2 linked regions of the Macaca mulatta genome follow. The protein of the gene in region 1 interacts with the protein of each later gene in a biochemical or structural test. Links are inferred from orthologs where the notes say so. Each region holds a gene or a part of one and is shown on either strand. Other genes may lie near its edges.

What was found.
Region 2: the proteins of CRK (region 1) and RAPGEF1 form a complex in vitro, tested with the Homo sapiens proteins (4 studies listed by BioGRID, with this or other methods). The link is inferred for Macaca mulatta from reciprocal best matches to the Homo sapiens genes CRK and RAPGEF1.

The regions. Positions count from the first base shown.
Region 1 is NC_133421.1:2,998,899-3,008,875, forward strand, and holds the start of CRK (adapter molecule crk), read right to left. Parts: upstream 5,052-9,977; 5' UTR 4,937-5,051; coding exon 4,696-4,936; intron 1-4,695. UniProt on the Homo sapiens protein: Involved in cell branching and adhesion mediated by BCAR1-CRK-RAPGEF1 signaling and activation of RAP1.
Region 2 is NC_133420.1:15,872,115-15,881,358, forward strand, and holds part of RAPGEF1 (rap guanine nucleotide exchange factor 1), read left to right. Parts: intron 1-1,880; coding exon 1,881-1,969; intron 1,970-2,944; coding exon 2,945-3,097; intron 3,098-3,531; coding exon 3,532-3,655; intron 3,656-4,095; coding exon 4,096-4,279; intron 4,280-5,925; coding exon 5,926-6,426; intron 6,427-7,408; exon of another isoform or gene 7,409-8,386; intron 8,387-8,554; exon of another isoform or gene 8,555-8,637; intron 8,638-9,137; exon of another isoform or gene 9,138-9,244. UniProt on the Homo sapiens protein: Guanine nucleotide-releasing protein that binds to SH3 domain of CRK and GRB2/ASH. Transduces signals from CRK to activate RAS. Involved in cell branching and adhesion mediated by BCAR1-CRK-RAPGEF1 signaling and activation of RAP1.

The sequences.
Region 1 (9,977 bases):
GCCTTGGCCTCCCAAAATGCTGGGATTGCAGGCGTGAGCCACCGCGCCCGGCCTCTTCTTGCCATTCTTTAATTCTGATCTTTAAAAAAACCTGGGTTGGATGCAGCTGTACATGCTGGAAGTCCCAGCTACTCAGAGCCTGAGTCAGGAGGACTGCCTGCCCCAAAGTTAAGGGCTGTAGTGTACTATGACTGTGCCTGTCAACAGCCACTGCACTCCAGTTTGAGCAACACGGTGGGGAAAAAAAAAAAACACAAGGGTGAGACAGGCAGATTACCTGAGGTCAGGAGTTCGAGACCAGCCTGGCCAACACGGTGAAACCTGTGTCTACCAAAAATACAAAAAAAAAAAAAAATTAGCCGGGCATGGTGGCGCATGCCTGTAATCCTAGCTACTCAGGAGGCTGAGGAAGGAGAATCACTTGACCCAGGGAAGGGGAGGTTTCAGTGAGCCGAGACTGCACCACTGCACTCTAGTAGCCTGGGGGACAACAAGAGCGAAACTCCATCCAAAAAAACAAAACAAAGTACTGAGGATATGGAGGATACAGACCTCCACATGCATTGCTGAGATCCCAAAAGGACGCTGGTTCTGACAAGTGTAGCATAAAAGGGTCAGTTCTCAGGTCAGAATGCCTAGGTTCAACTTTGGAAAGTCATTTACTAGCTGTGTGACCTTAAGCAAGTTACTGAATCTGAGTGTTTCCTCCTGTATAAAATGGGAATATTTTAATAAAAGGAGATCATATTACTTATCTCACCAGACTGTCCTAGACAGCAGGTGAAATAAGGCACATAAAGTACTCAAGCAAAGTACCTGGCACAGAATAACCAGTCAATAAACATTAGTTATTAATATTGTATACGCCTCTTTAAAATTCAAGAAATTTCTCTGTGTGACTTCAAAAGGACTTGGTGAGGGGGAGAACAAAGATTCAGTACTTAGCACTTGAGATTTGAGGTACAAAGCACTTAGCACTTGAGGTACAAAGTAATTCTGAGGTTATACAGACAGGCCGGGTGCGGTGGCTCAGGCCCAGCACTTTGGGAGGCCGAGGCGGGTGGATCATCAGAGTTCAGGAGTTCCAGACCAGCCTGGCCAACATGGCGAAACCCCATCTCTACTAAAAAATACAAAAATTAGCTGACCATGGTGGTGGGCCTCTGTAATTCCAGCTACTCAGGAGGGTGAGGCAGGAGAATTGTTTGAACCTGGGAGACGGAGGTTGCAGTGAGTCAGTATCACGCCATTGCACTCTGGTGTGGGAGACAAGAGTTAAAAACTCTGCCTCGGCCGGGCGCGGTGGCTCAAGCCTGTAATCCCAGCACTTTGGGAGGCCGAGACGGGCGGATCACGAGGTCAGGAGATCGAGACCATCCTGGCTAACACAGTGAAACCCCGTCTCTGCTAAAAAATACAAAAAACTAGCCGGGCGCGGTGGCGGGCGCCTGTAGTCCCAGCTACTCGGGAGGATGAGGCAGGAGAACGGCATGAACCCGGGAGGCGGAGCTTGCAGTGAGCTGAGATCCGGCCACTGCACTCCAGCCTGGGCGACAGAGCGAGACTCCGTCTCAAAAAAAAAAACAAACAAAAAAAAACTCTGCCTCAAAAAACAAACAAACAAACAAGACAGCAACTGAGCCAGGCACAGTGGCTCACACCTGCAATTCCAGCACTTTGGGAGTCTGAAGCGGGAGGATCTCTTGAGACCAAGAATTTGAGACTAGCCTGGACAACACAGTGAAACCCCTCATCTCCACAAAAAAATGTTAAACAGTTAACCAGGCATGGTGGATATGCCTGTAGTCCCAGCTGCTCAGGAGGCTAAAGTGGGAGGATGGCTTGAGCCCGGGAGGTCAAGGCTGCAGTGAGCTGTGTTCATGCCACTGCACTCCAGCTTGAGAGACAAAGGCCCTGTCTCAGAAGAGAGAAAAAACAGCAACTGAATCGTAGAAAATGGGGTACAATATGGCAGAATTATCACAATACTCGTGAATATTCCACACCCCATCCACAAACTTTGGCAATCTTCACCTTCTTTCCTGGGCCAAGGAACTGAGTTCTTATCTGTTTTGAAAAGGTGGTGCTCCATTATCCAAGTAAGGCTTGAGATATAAAAATCGTTATGCTAAGATGTGAAAAAATATCAAGCTAACAAACCTGCCGGCTGCCATTTTCAACTCTGGCAACCAACAAACACAAACAAAAGGCTGAAAAGTGAGTTTCAATAACAGTTTGCCATCATGTTACTACATATAATGCAAAACCCCAGATACCATGCAGGTGGCATCAAAGTAGCATATATCTGGTTCAGGGCCAACACAGGTACATCAATATTCCCATCTCATAACACCATTAAACTGGCCAGAATGAGAAAGATCTACAATAATTTGTGAACTTATAGACCCCATACTCATTTTCTAAAAATAGTTATGTGTTGGGCTGGGTGTGGTGGCTCACACCTGTAATCCCAGCACTTTGGGAGGCTGAGGCGGGCGGATCACCTGAGGTCAGGAGTTCGAGACCAGCCTGGTCAACATGGTGAAACCCCATCTCTACTAAAAATACAAAAACTAGCCAGGCATGGTGGCGTGTGCCTGTAATCCCAGCTACTAGGGAGGCTGAAGCAAGAGAATCCTTTGAACCCACGACGTAGAGATTGCAGTGAGCTGAGATCACACCACTGAACTCCAGCCTGGGCAACAAAAGTGAAACTCCGCCTCAAACAAACAAAGCTGGGTGCAGTGGCTCACACCCGTAATCCCAGCACTTTGAGGGGGCAAAGGCGAGTGGATTACCTGAGGTCAGGAGTTCAAGACCCACCTGGTCAACCTGGTAAAACCCCATCTCTACTAAAAATACAAAAATTAGCTGGGCGTGGTGACAGGCACTGGTAATCCCAGCTACTTAGGAGGCTGAGGCAGGAGAATCACTTGAACCCAAAAGGCGGAGGTTGCAGTGAGCCAAGATGGCGCCACTGCACTCCAGCTTGGGTGACAGAGAGAGACTCTGTCTCAAAATAAATAAATAATAAATAAATAAATAAAATAAGAAAAAAATTGGTTATGTGTTGGCCAGGCACGGTGGCTCATACCTGTAATCCCAGCATTTTGGGAGGGTGGATCACCTGAGGTCAGGAGTTTGAGAGCAGCCTGGCCAATCTGGTGAAATCTTGTCTCCACTAGAAATACAACATTAGCTGGTTGTGGTGGTGGGTGCCTGTAATCCCAGCTACTCGGGAGACTGAGGCAGGAGAATCTTGAACCCGGGAGCCCCGGGGAGGTGGAGGTGGCCATGAGCCGAGATCGCGCTACTGAGCTCCAGCATGGGCGACAGAGCGAGACTCCGTCTCAGGAAAAAGTAAAATAAAAATTGGTATGTGTTAATAACAAAGAGACTGGCTATTCAATTCTCCATTTCTGGCCGGAACAAGTAAATCTAAATTAGAACGATCCTACAAGAGAAAGTCTACAGAGGATGGCTCAGGAGCTTCCTGATTCATAGGAGACTAGTCTGAACCCAGTCTCAGCGGCCAAGAAGAAACAGCTTCGACTTGGCAACAGTGTGAAGGCACGAGGACTCCTGATGCTGTTAAACAGGTACACATACAATGAGAACCCCAGAATTACTTCGTACCTCACAAATCTCCAGTACTAAGGGCATCTATCTATTCCCTTGAAACACTCCCAAATCAACTCCAACGGCATCGGAAAGACAGTCAATCTCAGGGATCCCTGGCAAGAAAAACCCAGCGCAGGTAATTTATGTTCTTGGCGTAGAGTCTGTTCCCACCATCCAGGAAGACTCAGCCCGCAGCCCCATCTTACTGAGCAAGGTCACGCCCTGAAGTACACACTGACAATGTGTAAGTCCAAGGAAAATGAAGCTCCAGTCACATCCAGGGAAGGGTCTGTTTCCACTGCCTCATTTCTGGTTTATTCTCTGGAATAAAATGTCTTTCCTCCACTAAACACTTTGAAAACCAGAACCCTCTACCGGCGGACAGTCTTCTGGACGCTTAGATCTCCTGCACGCAGCCAGGCATCGCCTTAAACTGGGTTGGGCTGGTCACTGAAGGCTTTCTTCTATCACTTAATTCACCACCTTCGTCCTCCACGGGGGAAGAGGACGGTACAAGGATTTTGGAAAAATGCCCAAGAAAGGAAAAAACTAACCGGTTTCCTGAGGGTGTCTCCATCCCTCCCGGCCAGTTTGTGGTGACTTCCTACCAAAGGCCACCAGGGGAGCACGGCCAAACCCGGCTCTCCAACACGGCAGGAAACGCTTCCAGCCCAAAAGCCACTTGTAGGATTATCGGATTCATTCTGGGCGCCGCTGCCAAGTGATGCCCCCGCAGTGCCAACATCTCCCTCAGCTCTTTGTCCCCACGTTGCCTTGCCCTGCCCTACCCTTGCGCCTGGCCCGGGAGCCAGCCCCACCCTGGGGCCGAAGCAGTTCCCCTTCCCCGGGGCTGCCCTTCCCAGGCACACCCCGGGGCCTCGGTCCGCGGCTCCTCCTCCCCCACACTCCTGTTCCCCGGGTGGGAATGAGCCCCAGCAGCCGGCGGGCCCCTGCCACGGTCACCCAGCCCTCTGCCCACGACCCCGAGGGTCCGCTCTCGAGGAGCAGCCAGCCGGGCTGGGAGCTCCGCGGCCCTCACCCCGCCCAGGGCCCCCCGTCCCGTCAGTCCCTCACCCGGCGGAGGTTGGGCGGGCGACGGCGGCACTGGCGGGCGCGGGCCGCTGCTGTTGATGATGTAGTGGGAGACGCGCGAGTTCTCTGAGACGCTGAGCACATAGTCCCCGGGGCTGGTGCTCGAGTCCCGCACCAGGAACACCCCGTGCCGCTGGCCCTGCAGCAGCGCCACCGCCTCCTGCCGACTCAACCGCCCCCAGTACCAGCTACTCCGCTCCTCCGAGTCGAAGTTGCCCGCCATGGCTGCCTCCGCGCCTAAACGCTGGGGTGCCGCCGCCGCGCGCGCCGCTCCGGCCCCCGGCGCCCGCCGCCCAGCGGACCGGCTCCGGTTTCAGCTTCACAGCAGCGCCCGAAATGGCGGCGGCAGCCGCGGGCCTTCCCCACCGGAAATGACGCGCTCCCTGCCCGAGGGAGGCTGCCGGGAAGGGGCCCGCGGCCCGCCATTGGGAGAAGGGCAAGGCGCCCTCGCGCGCGCACTGCGCATGCGGCCTCATGGGCGGTGCCGCCCTGCCCGGCCCGGGGATGAGGGGGATGGGAGGCGGGGTCTAGGGCCCGGGGGCGGGGCCTCGCAGCCTCCCGCAGAGACGTGCGCCTGCGCCGCCGACAGCGCGGTGCTGCTTCAGGCTCGCGTTCCCGGACGGCCCGGGACTTCTAGGCGGCGGCTCCCAGACAGGATTGCAGGAGAAAAGACGCGTGTGGCCCTGGGGCCTCAGTTCTCGGCCAGGCTTCCTGGGATATCAGTCTGTTTCTCTTTTCTTTTTCTTTTTTTGTTTTTTCAGACGGTGTGTCTGTCGCCCAGGCTGGAGTGCAGTGCCGCGATCTCGGCTCACCGCAACCTCCGCCTCCCGCGTTCAAGCGATTCTCCTGCCTCCGCCTCCCAAGTAGCTGGGATTACAGGCGAGCGCCACCACGCCTGGCTAATTTTTGTATTTTTAGTAGAGACGGGGGTTTCACCATGTTGGCCAGGCTGGTCTCGAACTCCTGACCTCGGGTGATCCACCCGCCTTGGTCTCCCAAAGTGCTGGGATTACAGGCGAGAAACATCGCTCCCGGCCATGTCGGTCTGTTTCTTCTCGTTCCTCTAGCTTCTCCACAGGCCGGCTGACGTTCTCATTTTCATTGATTCATTCAGGACATTGTTATTGACACTCCACCTGCACTGCGGGTGCAAAGGTGATGGAGGCTGGGCCCTGCACTCCTCAAACTCACACACCAGTGAGAGGAACCAGGAAACTGCATGACAAAAGGATGACAAATGCTGACAAGCGCTATCATGGGAAACGGACATGAACACAGAGCAGAGCCCCCCTCCATCCAGTCTGCGGAGTAATCCAAGAGGGCTTCCCAGAGGAGGTAGCATGTGTTGACTGCTGAATGACAAAAGGGGAAGGACATTCAAAGCAAAGGGAGCAGAGTGTGCCAAGCCACGTGAAGTACAGAGTTCTCCTCTCTTTTGAGGCTTTCGGGTCACCTTCCCAGATACTTCTAAACACTAAATTGTAGCCAGGGGCATCTCCTACTTTCACTGCCGTCATGGTCACTCTGGACTGTGTTCCTATGAGTGGCTTGCTCGCTGGTGCCCTTTCGTCTGGTTGCCTCTAATTGCACTGCAAACAGCTCCCACTGAGTTTTCTAAAATACAGATCTGGCCGGGCACGGTGGCTCACGCCTGTAATCCCAACACTTTGGGAGGCTGAGGCAGGCGGATCACCTGAGGTCAGGAGTTCTAGACCAGGCTGACCAATATGGTGAAACCGCGTCTCAACTAATACAAAAATTAGCTGGGCGTGATAGTGGCTGCCTGTAATCCCAGCTACTCAGGAAGATGAGGCAGGAGAATCGCTCGAACCCGGGAGACAGAGGTTGCAGTGAGCTGAGATCCCACCATTACACTCCAGCCTGGGCGACAGAGGGAGATCCTGTCTCAAAAAAGTATATATGTATACAAATCTGAATGTGTTGCTACCTTGTGTAAAACGTTTAACAGTCTTCAGGTGTTCAAACTCCCAGGTTAGCTCAGAGCATAAAATTGAGCCATAGTCTCTCTTTTTTTTTCAGATGGATTCTTGCTCTGACGCCCAGGCTGGAGTGCAGTGGTGCGATCACAGCTCACTGCAACCGCCACCTCCCGGGTTCAAGTGATTCTCCCTGCCTTAGCCTCCCAAGTAGCTGGGACTACAGGCGCCTGCCACCACGCCCAGCTAATAATGTTCGTATTTTTGGTCGAGACGAGGTTTCACCGTGTTAGCCAGGATGGTCTCCATCTCCCGACCTCGTGATCCGCCCACCTCGGCCTCCCAGAGTGCTGGGATTACAGGCAAGAGCCACTGTGCCTGGCCTGGAATGCTCTTCTACCCACTTTGGAGTCTCAAATTCAAATGTCTTCCCTTTCTTTTTGTTTTTGTTTTTTGAGATGGAGTCTCGCTCTGTCACCCAGGCTGGAGTGCAGTGGTGCCATCTTGGCTCACTGCAAGCTCCACCTCCTGGGTTCACGCCATTCTCCTGCCTCAGCCTCCCCAATAGCTGGGACTACAGGCGCCCGCCACCATGCCCGGCTAATATTTTTTGTATTTTTTTTTTTTTAGTAGAGATGGGGTTTCACCGTGTTGGCTAGGATGGTCTCCATCTGCTGACATCGTGATCCGCCCTCCTTGGCCTCCCAAATTGCTGGGATTACAGGCGTGAGCCACTGCGCCCGGCCCGAATGTCTCCCCTTTCTTAACCACCCTATCACTCCCTCTCCATCAACAGCAATACGTCCAAATTATTCCCATGACAGCTCTTACCCATTTTACTGTAATTTTTCTTTTTTTTTTTTTTTTTTTTTTTGAGACGGAGTCTCGCTCTGTCACCCAGGCTGGAGTGCAGCGGCGCGATCTCGGCTCACTGCAAGCTCCGCCTCCCGGGTTCACGCCATTCTCCTGCCTCAGCCTCCCGAGTAGCTGGGACTACAGGCGCCCACAACCGCGCCCGGCTAATTTTTTTTTTTGTATTTTTAGTAGAGACGGGGTTTCACCGTGGTCTCGATCTCCTGACCTTGTGATCCGCCCGCCTCGGCCTCCCAAAGTGCTGGGATTACAGGCGTGAGCCACCGCGCCCGGCCTGTAATTTTTCATTTGTAGTTCTGTGTATGTCCTTAAAGTCCAAGCAGCTAGTCTACGAGGTACTCCATAAGCGTTTCAGGACCACTAACATTTATTCAGAGATGACCGTCTGCCAGGCACTGTGCTGACTGCCTTCATACGCATCATCTCATTTAATCCTCTCAACCACCTTCTTTGACAAGTATCCCCATCATACAGAAGAGAAAACTGAAGCTCAGAGAGTTTAAGTAACGTGTACAGAGATACACGTTGGCACAGTGAGGAGCTAGGGTTCAAATCCTGGAAGGAGAGACAGCATGGTCACTCTGCTGTACCCTCAAATTTCTGAGATAGGAAGTGGGAGGAAGGGGTGGCAGGAATCTACATTTTAAAAAAGCAGGCCGGGCGCGGTGGCTCAAGCCTGTAATCCCAGCACTTTGGGAGGCCGAGACGGGCGGATCACGAGGTCAGGAGATCGAGACCATCCTGGCTAATACGGTGAAACCCCGTCTCTACTAAAAAATACAAAAAACGAGCCAGGCGAGGTGTCGGGCGCCTGTAGTCCCAGCTACTCAGGAGGCTGAGGCAGGAGAATGGCGTGAACCCGGGAGGCGGAGCTTGCAGTGAGCCGAGATCCGGCCACTGCACTCCAGCCTGGGCGACAGAGCGAGGCTCCATCTCAAAAAAAAAAAGCAGTCAGGCAGGGCGCAGTGGCTCACGCCTGTAATCCCAGCAATTTGGGAGGCCGAGGCGGGCGGATCACAAGGTCAGGAGATCGAGACCATCCTGGCCAACACGGTGAAACCCCGTCTCTACTAAAAATACAAAAAATGAGCCGGGCGTGGTGGCGGTGCCTGTAGTCCCAGCTACTCCTGAGGCTGAGGCAGGAGAATAGCGTGAACCCAGGAGGCAGAGCTTGCAGTGATCCCAGATTGCGCCACTGCACTCCAGCCTGGGTGACAGAGTGAGACTCTGTCTCAAAAAAAAAAAAAAAAAAAAAGCAGCTGTGGATTCTGGTCTAATGGATAACACAGCCCTTCTGGACTCACCTACACACCCTTAGGCCTGCTCTGGGGAAGTGGGGGTGGGGGCCTGGGAGGGACAAGGGCACTTTTCCTGCTGTAGGTGACTCATCGTGACCCTGGCTTAGTCACAGCCTGGCACTGTGAACCAGCAGAAGCAGCCATGCCAGTGTGAATTCTGGCCGGTCTGTGAGCTCTGGACCTGACCCAGAGACCGCCTGTTCCAAAGCAGTCCCTCTAAGATCCCTCCCTAGGGCACATGGAAATTACAAGAAAAAGATTTTTTTTTGGTTTTTCGGGACAGAGTTTCGCTCCTGTTGCCCAGGCTGGAGTGCAATGGCACGATCTCAGCTCACCGCAACCTCCGCCTCCTGAGTTCAAGAGATTCTCCTGCCTCAGCCTCCCGAGTAGCTGGAATTACAGGCATGCACCACCATGCCCGTATAATTTTTTGTATTTTTAGTAGAGACGGGGTTTCTTCATGTTGGTCAGGCTGATCTCGAACTCCCGACCTCAGATGATTCGCCTGCCTCAGCCTCCCAAAGTGCTGGGATTACAGGCATGAGCCACTGTGCCCAACCGAAAAAGAAAAAGAATTTTTTTTTAAGGAGAATAGGCCAGTACTTTGGGAAGCAAAGGTGGGTGAATCACTTGAAGTCAGGAGTTTGAGACCAGTCTGGCCAACTGGGTAAACACCATTTCTATCAAAAATACAAAAATTAGCCAGGCGTGGCGGGCACCTGTGATCCCAGCTACTAGGGAGGCTGAGGCAGGAGAATCGCTTGAACCCAGGAGGCGGAGGTTGCAGTGAGCCAAGATCGTGCCACTGCACTTCAGCCTGGGGGACAGAGAAAGACTGTGTCTCAAGGGGAAAAAAAAAAAAGGAGGAGGAGGAAGAAATCATAACTAAGCTGGAAAATAAAGAGATAAGTGGCCGGGCGCGGTGGCTCACGCCTGTAATCCCAGCACTTTGGGAGGCCGAGACGGGCGGATCATGAGGTCAGGAGATCGAGACCATCCTGGCTAACACGGTGAAATCCCGTCTCTACTAAAAATACAAAAAACTAGCCGGGTGTGGTGGCGGGCGCCTGTAGTCCCAGCTACTGGGGAGGCTGAGGCAGGAGAATGGCGAGAACCCGGGAGGCGGAGCTTGCAGTGAGCCAAGATCGTGCCACCG
Region 2 (9,244 bases), on another chromosome or scaffold:
GGATATTGAACTATTCAAAATTATCACATTAATGATACATAATCTTATGTATACTCTGTGATGACCATCTTTTGTGGTTTGATTTTTGCACACATTCATGACATTTTTCTTGGGCAAGATTCTTTTTTTAAGAGATAGAGTCTTAATCTCTCACCTAGGCTGGAGTGTGATTACAGTTCACTGCAGCCTTGAACCCCTGGGCTCAAGCCATCCTTCTGCCTCAGCCTCCCAAAGTGCTAGGATTATAGGCATGAGCCACTGCACCTGGTGCAAAATTCTCATAATGCAAATGTTTAAGGCTTTTGATATGTACTGATAAGTCATCCCTCTGAAGAGGCTGTCTGAAGCGCTGCTCCCACCTACTATATCTGGAAGTTTCTATTTTGTTGCCATCCAAAGTGATGAATGTCTTATGATTATTGACCATTGGTATCTGTGACTTTCTTGTTTGATATTTTTTTTGGCGTGTTCACCTTCTAGTTTTTGTGTTTTCGAAAGAACCCTTGCACTGGGAAGGATGGTAACTGACTCTGACTTATTTGCAGCATACACTGCCATTTTGGTGTGTGGTGTTTTTGAGTCGAGAGGCTTGGCAGCCACTGGTTCAGGGTCTCTGGTTACTGTGTTGCCCACTGGCATCCGCTGCCACCTCCTCTATAACTTGGAAACAGCTTCCTGCTGAAACACGTAGGCCCTGGCCAGATGTCCATCGACAGGAAGGCGGGGGGAGTTGTGATGCATCCACTCGTGGGAACACTGCCGGCAACTAGCAGCAGGCACCTCGCACACACGAAGCACAGCCATTGACGCTGAGCTTGGGGGACAGAGCAGGCAAAGATGTGTGGACAGGAAGTGGATTGGTGGCTGCCAGGGGCTGGGGGTCGAGGGGAATGTGGAGTTTCCTTTTGGGGTGATGAGAAGTCCTAAAATTGATTGTGCTAATGGTCACACAACTCTGTGAACAGACTAAAAACCACTGAATCGTACACTTTAAATGGGTGAATTTGATGGCATATGAATTATATATCCATAAAGCTGTTTTTAAAAAGAAAATGGACACAAAAGTATATATATGATATGGTTGCATTTATATAAAGTTCTAGGACAGGCAAAAGTAATCTATGATAATGGAAGTTAAAAAACGGTTGGGGCAGGGCAGATTGGCTGGAAATGTTCTTTGTGTTTTTAGTGGCACTTACTTGGGTATATGCAGTTGTCAAAACTCATCAAACTGGGAGAAAATGCATTCTAATCTTTTTTAAAAAACCACGTGGGCCCTTAGGTCTTCCCTTTTTTTTCTTTTGCTATGATTTGAAAAAGGCTGTTTTTCTTTTCTTTTTTCTCAGTTAATGGTTCTAAAGTGATTTCTTTGCTGGGTTATCTCCCCTTAACTCCTTCTCCATTGACAAGGACCCCAACCAGCCGCCACCCACCCCCACCAGCTAGCTGCTCCACCACACCTGTGGCCAGCTCGCCTTGGGAAGCCACCCAGTGCCACACGATCTAGTGACTTTAGAGAACTAGAAACAGAGTAATTCCCCAACAAACTGACTGGGAATCTGTTCTGCCGGGTATTGTAATTTGTGTGATAAACAATCATTTTGAGACTCTGGGGTTTGCCATTTCCCCTTCCAAGAGGAAGTGCCTTTACGCATTTGAAACTTCTTGACATGCCATGAAGGTATTTTTGGAGGACCGGGGACATTTGGGAAGTCATGCAGATTACCTAAGGCGAGTGATTCTTGCGTTTATGGCGCATGGAGAATCTGTAGGCACAGAAATGAGACCCAGCAGCAGAGGACAGACAGCACCTGCCTGCCTTCTTGTGGAAACTCAGTGGTGACGGGAGCTTTGCTCATTGCCTTTTTCTTGTGGGGTAGGAGCTGGTCAGGCTCACCGTCGAGAAGCAGGGACGTCCATCTCCGACGAGCCCCGTGAAGCCCAGTTCCCCTGCTGGCAAGCCTGATGGGTAGGTGCTGACTAACCCTCCTGTCGCAGGGGTCACACTCAGTGGCAAAGTCTCTACATTTGACAAGGATAGGGCCTGGGGGGTGGGCAGCATGAAGGTGGGCTGCTGGAGGCCCATATTGCTTTTTCAGTGGTTAGCATTGTGTGTATATTTCACACAGGCTTGAAGTATTGCCCATCTCAAGTTTACTCTTCAGTGTGACTGTTTCCAAGGATCATGTGTGAGCGCATCCAGTGACACATACCAGTGCTTTTCCTGGGCAACTTCGTTTCATAATTACAAAGAACTTTTAAGGGCTTGGGTTTGGGGACTTTGACTTGAGTGCACTCTTGCTTGATCCAGAGTAAACTGAGGATGACATCGATGGTTGTAAGGGTTTATATTCATCTCTACTCTAAGCTCCTGGTAAAAATATAAAACATAAATTTGGAGCTTTTGTTTTGTTTTTGAGACAGAGTCTCTGTTGCTTAGGCTGGGATGCGGTGGTACGATCTGGGCTCATTGCAACCTCCTCTCAGGTTAGAGCGATTCTCTTGCCTCAGCCTTTCAAGTAGCTGGGACTACAGGTGCACGCCACCACGCCCGGCTAATTTTTGTATTTTTAGTAGAGACAGGGTTTCACCATGTTGGCCAAGCTGGTCTCAAACTCCTAACCTCAAGTGATCCGCCACCTTGGCCTCCCGAAGTGCTGGGATTATAGGTGTGAGCCACTGTGCCCGGCCTGGAGCATTTTAGAGAGCCCTTAGATCATCTTCAGATAAGGAAACTGAGGTGCAAAGTTGGGGGCACAGCCAAGCTCCAGTAGCTCCTTAGCAACCAAACCAGAACCCCAGAGCTCTGTATCCAGGGAGCCTGCTCCTCAGCCCCACCTCACCCACCATGTTCTACCCAGTCACATCCTCACCCTCTCAGGGCCTGTATGTGCTCGTCCCGTCTTTGACCTTCTGTAACCCCAAGTTCTTCCCAATTCTGCAGCCCAGCAGAGCTCCCCCTGACAGACCGCGAGGTAGAAATCCTAAACAAGACGACCGGGATGTCACAGTCAACTGAGCTCCTCCCAGATGCCACAGATGAAGAGGTCGCGCCCCCCAAGCCCCCTCTGCCTGGCATTCGGGTGGTTGATAATAGGTAACTACCTTCCTGTTTGTCCAGTGCCTCCCATGGCAGAATGAGCAAGAAAGGGAGGAAGGCAGGGCTCGGGCCCTTTCCCCTCAGTGCTGGGGGCTTGGCCCCCCTTGGGAGGCTGACTCTGGAGCTGTCCCCCCCCCCCCCGCCCAGCCCTCCCTGGCCACCCTGAGCTCTCCTGAAGGCCTCCTTGTGCCCTCAGCCCAGGGAGACCTGGTATGATTTATTATGAAAGAAAAAGAAAGGGTTGTTCTTTTTCGTTCATTTGGTATTTACAGGTTTTATTTTGGCGGAGGGGAGTAGGCAGCAGTTGAAGTGTGAACACTGGGTGTGGAGAGTCTAGTAATGAAAGAGCCCCACATCCTGTACCCCAATATCATGCTGAAGAGCTTTGGTGAGTGTGGTTTGGTCTGCCTGGACGTTTCGGTCTGTTTCAGTCCTCCACCAGCATTGCCACCCAAGAAAAGACAGTCGGCACCGTCCCCTACCCGAGTGGCTGTGGTGGCCCCCATGAGCCGAGCCACCAGTGGCTCCAGTTTGCCTGTTGGAATCAATAGGCAGGTAATGCAGCTCGTGTTCGCTTCTTGGGAAGGCAGGGAGGGGGGTCGGGATTTGCTCCTGAAGCTGAAACCCATGGTCTTCAGTCACTGGTGTTTTGTCACATCGAGGGGTGTGAGACCTTGTACCCATGCCTCTCATTCCAGGACATGATCCAAATTCCCATATGGGGATAAGGGTCAGGGCAGGGAGGCCAGAGCCAAAGGGCGTCTCCTGGGGATAGGTGAGCCCAGCCCCAGAGCCCTCCCTGGTCACACCCCCCACCAACTCCAGATGGCTGCTTCTCTGCTGTATGTGTCCTTCAATTGCTGACGTCAGAGGTGGTTTTTGAGTTTGCCTGGCAGTATTTCCTTCTCTAAGTAAATGCACCGGTTGCCTCACCCCTGGTCTCTGCCACCGTTTCTCAGAAGTGACTTGGCTTTGTTTTTCTTTTTCCGTTTAAGGATTTTGACGTTGACTGTTATGCACAGAGACGACTGTCAGGAGGCAGCCACTCATATGGTGGAGAGTCGCCCCGCCTCTCCCCCTGCAGCAGCATAGGCAAGCTCAGCAAGTCAGACGAGCAGCTGTCCTCTCTGGACAGGGACAGTGGGCAGTGCTCCCGGAACACAAGCTGTGAAACACTAGGTGAGCCGCCAGCATCCTCCTGTTCCATCCTGTCTTGGTGGCTTCTCTGGGGCCATACAGTCCTGGGTGGGAGTCCCAGGTCATGCGATCATTGACTACGTGACTTTGGCCCACTTGTTTAAAATCTGAGCCTCAGCTTCCTCATCTGCAAAATAAGGATAACAGTATCTGCCTCCCTAGGAAGTTGAGCATGTAAATGAAATCACAACGTAAAACCACAGCCTAGATATTCAAGCGGTAACTGTTGTTAGTTCATCTGTCAGTGGGTAATTTGACTCTCTTTACCAAAATTAAGAGCCATTTGTGTTGAGAGCTTTAAATGAAGGGGTGGGGGTCCTGACAACACTTGACAGAGGCTGAAGGGGAAAGAGCCGCACGAGCCAGCCTTCTCCTTAGTCAGCGCTGAATGTGTGCTGTGCGGGCCCCTCCCGTCTGCCGGGCAGGGGGCTTAGAGAGCAGGAAGCTGTTTGTATCCTGTGAACTAGATATTTTCACTTCTGAGAATGTATCCTAGGAGCATAATCAGCGATTAATAGCAAGATTTCATTGGTAGGAAATCAGGTGAATGATGGTACATTCATTTGCTGGAATAATCTGTAGCTATTAAAAATTGCTCATAATATATTGATAACTGGAAAAAGTACAGGGCCATTTACATATTTTCATAGTATTCTCAATTTTTTTTTTGAGACAGAGCCTCACTCTGTCCCCCAGGCTGGAGTACAGTGACATTATCTGGGCTTACTGCAACCTCCGCCTCCCAGGTTCAAGTGATTCTCCTGCCTCAGCCTCCCGAGTGGCTGGGACTACAGGTGTGCACCACCACGTCCGGGTAATTTTTTTGTATTTTTAGTAGAGGCGGGGTTTCACCATGTTGGCCAGGCTGGTCTTGAACTCCTGACCTCAGGTGATCTGCCCGCCTCAGCCTCCCAAAGTGCTGGGATTACAGGCGTGGGCCACCGTGCCCAGCCAATTTTTGTATTTTTAGTAGAGAAAATGGTTTCATCACATTGGCCAGGCTGGTCTTGAACTCCTGGCCTCAAGTGAGCAGCCCACTTCAGCCTCAATAAGTGCTGGGATTACATTCGTGAGCCACTGCGCCCAGCCAATTTTTGTATTTTTAGTAGAGACAGGGTTTCACTACATTGGCCAGGCTGGCCTTGAACTCCTGACCTGAAGTGATCGGCCTGCCTCAGCCTTGCAAAGTGCTGGAATTACAGGCGTGAGCCACCACGCAGCCCTCAGTTGGGCTTTTTCAAAAAGGAATCCTAGAAGCAAAAGAGGCATTTAAGGAAATACATCAAAATGTAAATAGAAAATACAGTTAGATTACGGGGTTGTGGGTGATTTTTATTTTCTTGATGTAATTTGCCACGGTTTCTGTGATGGTTGTGTATTTTTCTTTTTTTTTAAGTAAGAAATGTAAAAAATAAGAAAAGTATAGCAAACAGCCATATTCCCATCTGGTTTGCTTTTATAATCAGGGAGAAGAATGAAGAATATAACATGTAAATATAAACGAAACCCTGGAGACATGTCTTTGTCACACACCCATGAGCAAGCCGGCAAGAGGTGGGCAGCGGGGGCTGGCTGCTCCTGCAGGGCCTCTGGCTAACGGGTCTTTTTTTTCCCTGTTGTAACTGCAGACCACTATGATCCCGACTATGAATTCCTCCAGCAAGACCTCTCTAACGCAGACCAGATACCTCAGCAGACGGCCTGGAACCTTAGCCCGTTGCCAGAGTCTTTGGGGGAGTCTGGGTCTCCATTTGTTGGCCATCCTTTCCAGCTGCCTCTTGGCAGCCATCCCCAGCCAGACGGACCTCTGGCCCCAGGGCAGCAGACAGATACGCCGCCTGCTCTCCCCGAGAAGAAGCGCAGGAGTGCAGCCTCCCAGACGGCGGACAGCTCTGGCTGCAGGGTGTCCTACGAGCGGCATCCCTCGCAGTACGACAACATCTCTGGGGAGGACCTGCAGAGCACGGCCCCAATCCAGTCCGTCCCCTATGCGCCCTTTGCTGCTATTCTCCCCTTTCAGCATGGAGGTTCCTCAGCCCCTGTCGAATTTGTGGGTGATTTTACTGCTCCTGAATCAACGGGTGACCCAGAAAAACCACCTCCTCTACCAGAGAAGAAAAACAAACACAGTAAGCTTTTGTTGCACTGTTGTCAGGAAGTGCGTTTTATAACCTGAAATGGCAGTATGTTTTCTTTCAGCATTAGACCAGAAGCAAATCAGTGGCCTCATTATTTCATAAAAGATAGGCCAGCCAGGTATGTCGACACTTCTGGGAGCCAGGTTTTCTCATTACAGGTGATCGTTTTTAAAGCCTGATCAGCTGATCTCTCCTTTATAGTTTCCGTACAGTCTCAGGCCGATTCTCCACGTAGCCCGAGGGCTTCTCCTCTTTAGATGGCAGCAGTTGACCTTCTGGCCTGATCACAGTGACAGAGGGAAACAAGTGTCCTGGCATGCAGGACAGCATTGCAGCAACATCTGCATAGAGCGAGGTGGATATGTGAATTTCAGCAGAACTTACCTAGTGTCCACAGAGTGATTGTCTAAGGATCCTGTCTAGAGCACGCTGTCTCTGTTCATGCTCCCAGAATGACGTGGGAGCTGAGGTTGCCCAGCAGGAGTAATTGAGGACACTTCTTGGACCAAACATTTTAATATATGATGTTACTGGAGCCCAGGGGTGGAGCTGAAGTTTTGAATATTTTCCAACTGTAAATCTGCCATAAAAGTAATAAGGAGAGTTCTCCTGGAAATTCTGTTTTCTCCTAGCTCCCCTAACTGCCCCACACTTCTGGGAGTTGCCTGGCCCCCTCTGTCCCCGCCCTCTCCCCGCTTCACTAGCATAGTTCTGCTTCGATTTTCTTGGCAGCGCAGCTGTCACCGTTTCAATGTGTGTGGTCACGTTAGCCCCACAGCCCCAGGCTTCCCTGGCCTCAGTTGACATATCCAACAGAGAACTTCTGTGAACTAGAAATGGAATCTCTACTCCAAATTCCCAAATGAGAGCATCTGAGCCCAGCTTAGAACTGGGCCCCATTCTCAAAGAAGGGAAGACCTGGCTTGGTTCAGTCCAGCAAGGATCGCCCTGAGGGCCGGCTGCGTGGTCTCCAGAAGGCTGCGGCTGAGATGGTGTCATGTATCCCCAGCTCCTCGGTGGGTGTTGCCCAGCTTGTGTGATGGCCTCAGCAGTGGTCCCCCAGCTAGAGGGAGGGCTGGCTCTGTGGGACTAATGATGTCATCCCCATCTGTCGTGTATATTCGCTCATCAGAAACCAGGGCTTCCGCAGAGGGGTGTGCAATGGCAATGCCAGAAGCATTTCCTTCTCTTCCCCTCCCTCTGCATGGACAAGTGTTTAAAGAGCTGTTGGCCTCCCCCTTCACCTCTGTTATCTTGGGCTACATGCCACTCAAGCTCACCCCCTTTCCTTCCCTAGGGGAGGGGTCCTCTGAGCTCAGACACTGGGCAGGATGGCATCCTTACAAACTGCAGCAGACGCCAGAGAGCCTTACCCTTCCAGCTCCTAGAACAAGTGTGGGCGGCGGTCCTCATGCAGGGTCTGTAGAGGGGAGAAGGAAAGGGAGGGGTAGCCAGTGTTTCCTTTCAAACAGTCTCAAGTGGCTGAAAATCCCCAGTAATTTAGGCTACCATTTTGAGGCTTTAACCCATTCATCAGTGTCTCCAGTACTGGAGCCTGCAAACCTCTAAAAAACTCCTGAGCTGCAGCCATGGCGTGCCCTGAGCTAAAGCTTCACACGCCCTGTCGAAGGTCATCGTGACAGCCACCTGCAAGGCAGGCCCTATTAGCTCCAATTTCATAGGTAGAGAAACTGGAGCTTAAAAGAACTGAGTATTGCCCAAGATCAACAAGCAAGTGGGGCACGGATCTGGGACTGAGAGCCTGACCTGAGTTGTACAAGCCTGTTACACTTCCTCCCGAGCCAAGGAGGAATTCAGCCCTCCTTCCTTGAGATCCCATCCAGTTTTCAGTGTTGACCCCTATGCAGGGGGTGGTCTTCTCCATACTCTGTGAAAGAGCCCCAAACTTAGGTGCCCTGAGCCTCAGTCCTAGTCCCCAGTCTGCTCTTCACTCCCCGAGGGGACCCTCAGGTGACCTTGTGGAAAATGCCTCAAAATTGCTTTCAGGGAAAGAAGGAAAGAATCATCACCCTGGCCGCGTGGCTGACACTGGCCTGAGTTCACGCACGCTCAGTCCCAGTGTCACGACGTATCCTCATCATTTGGGATGCACTGATACCATGAGGGTCCCCAGCCCCTCTTGCCAGGGGCAACCCCATGAGTCCCTTGCACCAGACGAGCCTTGTGATCACTGTCCGGCACCTGAAATCCCCACAGTCCCAGGCCCTGAGCACTGGCGGCTGAGCCTTCCCAGCAATGCTGGCTGCCTGGCCTCTGGGCTGCCACTGGGCTGCTTTTGAAATGGACTGGGTCCTCCTCATTTCTAGAAGGCTGGGAATGTCACTGCTATTCCCTATGCTTGGCTAGCAGGTCTCTACAAGGGCTTCATCATCAAGAGTTCAGAAAGACCTCCTGAAGAGATCACAGTTTCACAGAAAAGTCAGGCAGAGGTGGTTGTGTTTAGTCTTTTTCTTTTTTCCATAGTTCACTGCAGCCTTGAACTCGGTTCAAGGGATCCTCCCACCTCAGCCTCTTGAATAGCTGGGACCATAGGCACATACCACCATTGCTAAGTTTTATCTTTTCTTTTTTCTTTTTAGAGATGGGAGTCTCACTGTGTTGCCCAGGCTGGTGTCGAACTAGCCTCAAGTGACCCTCCTGCCTCAGCCTCCCAAAGCACTGGGATTATAGGCATGAGCCACTGTGCCCGGCCACGTTTAGTCTTTTTAGGGAGCAGTTTGTGGGTGCTTGGGATCACCTTCCTAGGCTTGCCCCTTCCTCTGGAGCCTGGTGACGATGGTTGCACAGC